Nothobranchius furzeri: one gene and its partner. The protein of the gene in region 1 binds, or shares a complex with, the protein of each later gene. Links are inferred from orthologs where the notes say so. Each region holds a gene or a part of one and is shown on either strand. Other genes may lie near its edges.

Region 1 (4,328 bases):
TGAAGGTGGTTCATGATGGGACCAGTATCGTCTCAATTATTGTAGCCAAGGCACATTCATGTTTAGTGTGTATGATGAACATTTGACTGCAAAACTAAACCAATTCAGAGGCTGAGCAGCTCACAGCAGCACCAGTTCCAACTCAAGTGATATAAAAACTTTTTCTTTAGCTTTAAAATCAGAAGTTGTTTGTTTTGCTGCTTTAATCGGCCACTTCTGAGTGTAACTGATAACTACAAAAACACATTTTCACTTTGAGGTTCCACAAATCTAAAAGGAGAACCTCTTCTGGATGAAAGCAACAGTGGGAGGTTTCATAAAAAGGACCCCGTGTCTACTTGAGGTAAAAATTTGTTTCCTCCCCAACTTTCAGCTGGATTCTAAGTGAGATGCTTGCTAAGTACAGGCCCAGGTATTTTCTAAAGTCCCTTTTAAAAATAAACCTTTCAACATGTGGAAATTCTTGAACACATCGTAATGAATCAAAAGAGAATCTAGAAGTTCAGAAGGTTTTTTGTGCACATAACTATTGAACAAATGGAAGTAGTAATTATTTATAGCAATGTTAGTGGACAGAGGTCATTAATGTCTTTCCCGCTCTGTCTCCTGTGAAAACTCATCGTCCCTTGGACCTCTTTTCTATACAAGCCTTTGTGTTCATCAGTTTGGCTAGACGGTTCTATATTTATCTACAAATATATATATATATATAACAAATAAAACTTGCAGGCAAAAATATTTAAGTTTCAATAGAAACACCCTTTTTTTTCCTGAAAATACAGCAGTATCTGAAATAGCTCACGCATTCATTTATATTCTGTCCCAGGTTTCTGCATTATACATCAGGAAGCTCTTTTGCCTACCAACAGAAAAAAAGTATCTACAAACTTTGTAAACAGACCTGCTTTTTTTTCTCCAAAAAACATAAATAACTCAAAATATTAACAGCCAATGGAGCAGAAATAAGTTTTGAATGAGCAAGGGCCAAAGAGCTAAATATACAACACCATTCAGATAAGAGAAGCTAAAAGGTTCTTTCATGTTCTTACAGACGGCCCTCGTGCACGGAGGACTTCCATCTCGATTCAAACAGCAATAATATTAGAGTACTGAAAACAGGTCACTTTCAATCTGAGTTTATAATCTCCCCTTTGTAACACAGAAAATGCAAATGTTACCAAGGAGGGAGGGGTGAAGACCGAGTCTTTGTGTTGCAGCAGGGTATTAATGAGAAAAACAAAAACCAAAGCATCCGCACCAAGCCGTACATTCCTCTGAATGTCTGCTGTTATTTCAGTCCAGCTCATGCTAAGCTCTTACAGGACTCTGCTCTCAGTCTAGCCCTTCGTCTCGTCTCTCCAAGTGTTCGTTTAGTCCGAGCGGAGCTCCTTGGTGGCAGGTAGAAAAGAGGTGCTGACAGGGAGAGCAGGGCTGGATCAAAGGGAGGTCTCCAGGCTGTGTAGCGGGCTCCCTGGGGCTGAAGGGGTTCCTGATTTGGGGCACTCTGGAAGGAGGTGGTTGCTGCTCTCCACAGCATTATTGTTCTGGTTTGGGGAGGGAGAGACCGGTGTGCTGGGGACAGCGGTGGTGATGGGTGAGGGCGACGGTGAGGGCGAGGGCGTGGGTGAAGGGGGAGTGGGCGTTGCGTTACGAGGGCTGGCAGAATTGCGCTTGGTGGGAGCGTCGTCCTCTGCATCTGTGTCATCTATGAGGGGAATCTGGGGCTCAGAGTCCTCTATCCGGAACTCGGGGTGGGTCATGAAGTTGTGAATTGATGATCTCGACTCGGGTTTCTCCAGCCCCTCATAGAGGGAGATGGAGCTGCGGAATGCTTTCACCACCCGGATCTGGAGGGAAGGAGGGAGACAGGATGCCGTTATTCACATTGGGTAATGACACACACTTCCAAGTTAGAACCCAGGTCGTGCCGCAGAGGCTTCATTAGTTCAATTCCAGGTAAGGTTTAGGGGCTTCAAAGCCAACAACCAGGAGGATATTCTCAAACACGTGCAAGTGAGCGTTTATTCTAGAACATCTTTAAGCCGTGAGACAAGTGATCTGGAGTTGGGACGTCCCTACCCATACGAACGGTTAGCGAACATATTAGCACAGAACTGATTTCTGTTTTCATTTTCTGTCTCTGGGACAAAGCCGAAACGAGCGGATGAAAACTATACCTACTTATATAACAAACATTACCCCCTTTAAAGACCAGAAACTCAGTATCACTCAGGCAAAAAAACAAGCTAAGGACCAAGCCGCTAGTTCAAATCACAAAATAGTTCAACAAAGAACTCTGAGCTACAGAAAAGTTGATTTGGGAGATTTAGAAGTAGTAACGACTCAGAAACTAGAATCTAACAGCAGAGAACGAACCGGTGACAAATGTGGTCGTTTGTGGTTTTAAACACTTGCTAGAGGACTAATCAAACTACAAAATAGGATTAAGATGGAAGAGGACAGCAGTTCTCTAACCTAGCCGTAGAAAGGGGGCAGCAGCTGGACAAAAGTCTACCTTTGTAGGACATGCTAAGTAGAGAGCAAAGAGTGAGACAGCAGCAGAGATCAGGAAGACAGAAAGAGACAGGAGAAAGACAGAAAAGAAAAAGAGAGGAGGGGGGTGGGGGTCTGTTACAGCTCATGTTTGTGGAGGAGAAACAAAGATGCTGCAGCAGCCAAGCATGTCTACAAGCTCGTATACAAGTGGAAAACAGCACAGAGAGAAGAACTCACAAACAAGACCAGAGACTTAGAACCCATGCAGAGCGTGGTGCTACCTTTAGTTCAACAGTAGTAAACCTTTGAGTATAGCCCATGACACATTTCATACAACCTGAACAGGAGTGTGTGCATTTTCATCATTCTGTTTCCCTTCGGTTGTTAATTTAGCAACAGGATGCAACATGGACCCACACTGCCAACAAAAAACAGGTATTCCCATAAAGGAAGACATGTTTAAAGAGCCCCTGAGAGGAAACTGGTGGTTCAATAGGGAGGTAACCGTTGATCTGAGGGGGTCCACCTTAAAACAGAAACTCAAACATTATTCAGACAAGACACTTTGAAATATGCCAGAAAAAAAACAACCTTCTGTAAGCTATTAAAGAAATGAGTTATGTTTAAATATTCAAATGGGGAATCGTTGGTTCCATAAAGCTGCTTTTATTGCATCTGAGACATTTCTGATCTACTGCTGGTGAGGCGGTCGCTCTGGTTGGGTCTGAAAAGGAAAAAGTAGTAAGAACAGACTCCTTATTCTTCTGAGGGTACATAAAGGGTGTGTGTGTGTGTTGGGGGGGTAGCAGCAGCAGCCCTTGGAAATGCCACAAATGATCCAGATCCACTTTCCACACTGAAGGCCTTGAAGCTTGAAAAAGGTTGGAGGAATTTGTGAAAGTCCATGAAAACCTGCATCTAAACATGGCAGCAAACTGTAACCCGGCAACAGCAGCTTGTTGTTGCCACTGGGCGCTGGTAGAGAGGTCCATCCAAAGACACAACACGCACATTTTGTTTGACAGTAAACTGCCACATTTGGAAAGAAAGAGGTCTTTATCTCACCATGGACACTTGTCCCGAGTAATCTGCATAGTTTAGGCCGTGATCATGGGCGTATACTCAAAACATTTACCCCACCAGGGACTAGAGAGCTGCGACAAAGACCCACGAGTGCTACAAAGGCACAGAGCAGACTGAGGCAGCTGCAGACAAACCTGGTAAACGTCAATACAGAATAAAATGTTTATCAGATAGAAAAACACACATCACCCCCCACCCCTACAAAGTTTCCATTACTTAGACCGATGCAGAAGCAGAACAGAAAACACGACGACACAAATAAAACACCTCGACAACTGAAGCAACCTGGTTACAGGGGGACATTTATGTATAATACAGCAGTTATAAAAGCAGTATGGAAGATGTGGTTTTGGTGGTTTATTTTTAATTTTTTTTTTAAGAAAACAAGGGGGAGGGACATTAGGGGAGGCATGAGAGTGCAAAAGTTGAACATTAGGCGAGAAAAAGAGTGGAAGAGAAAGATGTTAGAGGAAGGAACAAAAAAAAAGTCTCATGCACTAAAGGAGAACACGCACTCACACCCCACAGTGGAAGAAGCGCTGTTGGCAGCAGTGGCAGTAGTGGTAGTAGTAGTAAAGGCTACATGTGTAGGGCTAGAAACATTGGTTACATCGTGCTGTTGTTGGCTGGAGTTGGAGGCCTGCCGCCTTAGGGCCCCCTGAAAGGAAGTTCCACTCTGGAACGCACTCACTACATCCATCTGCAAAGAATCAGACAGCATGACAGGAGAGAAGCCCAGAGGAAATAAA
Region 2 (4,358 bases), on another chromosome or scaffold:
TTGAATGATTTGGTTCATTTTTTCCTGATTTAAACCGTCGTTAGATGTGCACTCCACAGTCTGAACACATTTGACTGGAGCACTGTGTGGTGGTCCGGGCGCTGTGGAGGAAAATAGCGAAACCAGCAGACAGAAACCGTTGCAAAAGGCAGAATTGGTCCAAAGTTTGGGAGCAGGAGTTAAACTACGGGCAGATTAGCTAATGCTAAGCTAGCGTGTAGCATGCTCACGATCAGGCGGAGGTCAGAAAAAACGTGACGGTTGTGAACGACTAAACTCTACGTTTATGTGTGGATGGCAGCGGCGGCGTGGAGCAGAACCGCTGAGTCAGGTCGTTGCTGCTGAGAGTCAGCGACTCGAGTCTGCTCCACACACCGCAGCGGGGCTATGGCTAGCCGTTGTAGCATGTAATTCACAAACACTTCTGTATGTGAATGCAACTTAGACTGGATTATGTTGCCAACCCGTACGTAACGAAATAGATGCCACATTACATGGTTACTGCAGAAATTACACGTTAGCATTTCCAGTAGCTTACTGCTGAACATGTTAATGAAGTAATTCAATTCTACTGATCATGTTTGATTTTATTTACATATGTTTAGACAAGGATGAATGATATTAAACCAAATATTTAAACGGAAGATAAGTCAAAGTTATTTATTATAAACATCAGCTGGGAAAGAAGGAACCCGACGACACCAATTTATTATATTGTTGAACCTTTTATAATTGTGTTGTTTTATTTTATATTTTTAGCAGCAGACCATAATCTTCTTTCACTTGAAACGCCGTCAAATAGAATATTCAGTGAATCGATGGAGGTTTGGATAAAATATTCACATACTAAAATATTCAAAGCCCTAGCGAATAAAAGGTCTGGCCACAACCCATAGAGAGCAGTTGTGGGGCGGGGCCTGCGGTTGTCTTTTAAACCGCCTTTGCATGCTATAAAATAAAGGACTTAAGTTCCTCCATCTGCTCTTGACTCGAAGAAAAGCCCAAGTCTAAATATGGATGCCAAAGCCCTTTCACACAGGTCAACGCCATCTTTGTTGTTTTGCGCCGTCTCATTACCCACCCACCAAAGCCACAGAGCGCTGTGATTGGTGTAACACAAAACTGCTCAGACCAATGGTAGACCTGCCGAGGCTCCTGTGGAGCGTGGCTAGACCGACCTGCAGAGCTAAATCTTTGCTCCGGCTCGTCAGAAACAATCGTGGATTTAACGGAGAGCTCAGCGAGTTCGGATGTACTTTTTGGTGAGACCCAAACACGGAGCACGACTGTTGGGACACGCAGCCAATCTAGTAACACCCATGTGTCTCTCGATGGGAAACGAGAACGTAAGCATCACCGCATTAACGAAGAAATGGCTTTCCTGTCGGCGGTGAGGCTCGTAACTCTTGACATGGATTGGATGAATCGATGACTGAGTGCTGTGTGCTGACTTTCGTATAAAGAGGACGTGGAGCTACGGAGCACGCTTGGGGGATGATGGGAGGTGGAGTAGCTAACACGGCGACTGTCTGTCTACATCTCTAGTATTGGAGATCTCTGCGTAAATCGTAGCATTCGTAGCATTGCTTGCTTCCAGTTTGTGAGTAAAGCAGAGTGTCGCATCTAAAACAGTCCGCGTAGAAACCTTCTCTATGGTCCATCTTTCTGAGAACGTGACGGGTCTATTCATCTGCTTTCATCACATTCAAATCCACCATTATTTATATCGTTATATCGCCCGTAGAGTAAAGCTGTCTCTAAAGGCCAAATCCACGTCGGTGTTTAATATGTGGGCAGAACTTTGATTATTAGATCGTCCAGGAAACCAAAAAGCATTTCCCAGAATCTTTTTGGACATCATGAACGGTTCCTGATTGGTGCAGCTGCGGCGGGTGGTGTGATTCAACAGTCAGAAGGAGACAGCACGCCCGAACACCCAGCAGCAAGTAGGCGGCATTTCCTTAAAGCAAACCATGATGGTTCTGCTGGGATTTCATTGATGGTGAACTTTGGATATTCATGGTGACATTTTTCTGACCAAATGGGAGAAATAGCTGCTCAGATATAAGAAAATGCACAAGTATAACCACAACAATCATTTATAAGCCGAACAGACAAACAATCAACAGGATCAACAGTCTAAATATATCATTAACAACAAACCTGAAGAATTGCCCATGCAGTTAGCTCACTCCCTTCCAGAAGCGCCACACTTCACTAATTTATGTGTGAAAAAGTGACAATAAGCTGTACCTGGCCTCGGGATGAGGCACCTGCATGCTCACAACACCTCACTCACACAAGACAAGCCTCCTCCCCTCGGTGCCACGTTAACGGTCACACCTGTCCTTACCGTTCTGACTGGAGACGAGAGGCAGCATCGGGTTCCCCAGGAGGACCACCGCCAGCATCACGGCGGTAGGATGCATCGTTAGGGTACCGGGAGGTCTCGGGCGGACAAATGTGGGAGGAGATGTCGTGTTGCTATTAATCACAGGAGCTACAAAGATGGGCCCAGCATAGCACCGGGGTCTTACAATCACTCGGCTGATGAGGAGACCCTAGCGGGGCAGCAGCGGGTGGAAGGTCCGGGACCAGGCCAGCGGCTTCAGGGAAGCCGATGCGCGGCCATCGGCGGTGGAGAAGCCTCGTCGGGACTTACGCAGACGGTGTCTTTGGATGTCAGGGAGATCGTCCACGGCGAGGTTCCGAAGACTCAAAGATGCGCACGCCGATGCGCATTTGCGCCTCCACGGTCACGGCTCGGTGATTAAAATGAAAGTAGCGCACAAATGATTCCCAGACGTCAAGAGATGGAGCCCAAACATGAGTTCGGTATCGGCACCGGACCGGACCGGTCTTTTTTTAATGCCACGGGATGAACAGATGCCAGGGAACCAACGGCAGGCTGCGCGTGCCCAGTGCGCTCACGACGCCGGATGGAAACACACACACACACACACACACACACACACGTGAACTCGTTGTTGCTTTTGTTTATCAAACATTTTCGGTTTATCCATAAAAATCCCAAATGTGACGTCATTTTAATGTGTTGTCGTCACATCTGGATCCACAAATGTTTTACACGCTGCAGAAAAGCCCAAATAAACGGATGAATCCATTAATAATTGGCTAATAAAAAGTGAATTTCTCACAAGTGTGCTTTCCTCTTCTAACTAAAGTGACGTTGTACGGACGCTCAGTGATGTCATTTATAAATGATGTCATCAGTGGCCTTCTCAAACTGCATATTCCATCCCATAAAAGTTCAACATGGCCTCCTGTAGTCCTCTGTCTCTGTCCTGCGCCGCTGCACGAGCGCCCTCATGTGGTCAGTTGAGGTAAACCGATAACTTCCAGCGCGTGACTTGTCCCATTTATCAGGTGACCAGTTTGATTAAATAACACTAATCACTTTATTATTTAACTATCTATAACTTGTATTATGGCTGAACTTTGCAGATCATTAAGTCAAGAATATCTGATCAGTCGTTTTTGGTGCGAATGTGAAACTGCAGGTCAGTTTTTGAGTTTGAAGTGTTCTCCTGAGGTGCACGTCTGCTCCATGCGTGTTTTTCTGCAGAGGACATGCCAGCGCTCAGCTGTAGAACAAACTTCCCTCCACTTCGCAAGCCCTTCCTCCAGTTTATCTGTGGGAGCGCACGTTTAAAATGTAACCCCACCTGAATCCTCCCAAACACCAATCAGCTAGAGAAAGGTCAGCGCAGTCGGCACACCCCCCCTTTGTTCAGGACCAATCAGAGTGGAAGTGTGGCATTTGGCCTGCGGGTAAAACTTACCCCTGGATGAGTTATGTACGCATCACTAAGCTGTTGCCAATGTGTTCCCAACGGTGGACCCTCTTTTACCACGGGTGCCTTCATTCTCCAGTCAGTAGTATGGAAAGTAGACAACAATGGCTCACCAGGCTGAAAAATGAACTTAGCAACAGTCCGCTGGTGTCCAATGTGGCTTTTGGCTTTATCCTCATGGGACTAGAGAAGCTTGTGGAGCTGGAGTTTGAGTGTCCTTGCAGCCCTACATGGAACGGAGTGTTTTCATCCGCGTTCTTCATCATTCCTGCCGTCATGGCCTTCACCTTGATGCTGATCATTCAAGGATGTAGATGCAACACCTGGAGCAGGAAAAGCGTGTCCCTCTCCAGTTTCGTTCCTGCTGTCGTCTGGCTGATCTTGCTGTTCCTCGATGGCCAGTACTTTGCTTGTGCTATGACAGACTGGGAGGGAAGGTTTGTGCTCGTTGACAAGGCAGCTCCGCAGAAGTGGTGCGAGCCAATTAGGGAGGAAGATGTCACCCCGCAAGAACTAATGCTCCGCTCACAGCAGCTGTTTGTG

The links.
Region 2: the proteins of atp2b1a (region 1) and nptnb are in contact, whole or in part, in a cryo-EM structure (PDB 6A69), measured with the Homo sapiens proteins. The link is inferred for Nothobranchius furzeri from reciprocal best matches to the Homo sapiens genes ATP2B1 and NPTN. Residues at the interface, in NP_001353449.1 of Homo sapiens: Phe954, Asp955, Ile956, Asp957, Glu996, Arg997, Asn998, Val999, Glu1039, Gln1040, Leu1042, Trp1043, Ile1045, Phe1046, Met1049, Gly1050, Leu1052, Leu1053, Gln1056; in NP_036560.1 of Homo sapiens: Arg245, Ser246, Asn248, Arg332, Arg334, Pro339, Pro342, Phe343, Gly345, Ile346, Glu349, Ile350, Ile352, Leu353, Ile356, Ile357, Tyr360.

The regions. Positions count from the first base shown.
Region 1 is NC_091741.1:46,471,658-46,475,985, reverse strand, and holds the end of atp2b1a (plasma membrane calcium-transporting ATPase 1), read right to left. Parts: intron 4,280-4,328; coding exon 4,163-4,279; coding exon of another isoform or gene 4,099-4,162; intron 1,848-4,098; coding exon 1,437-1,847; 3' UTR 733-1,436; downstream 1-732. UniProt on the Homo sapiens protein: Catalyzes the hydrolysis of ATP coupled with the transport of calcium from the cytoplasm to the extracellular space thereby maintaining intracellular calcium homeostasis.
Region 2 is NC_091749.1:73,904,298-73,908,655, forward strand, and holds the start of nptnb (neuroplastin b), read right to left. Parts: upstream 3,043-4,358; 5' UTR 2,430-3,042; coding exon 2,354-2,429; intron 1-2,353. UniProt on the Homo sapiens protein: Probable homophilic and heterophilic cell adhesion molecule involved in long term potentiation at hippocampal excitatory synapses through activation of p38MAPK. May also regulate neurite outgrowth by activating the FGFR1 signaling pathway.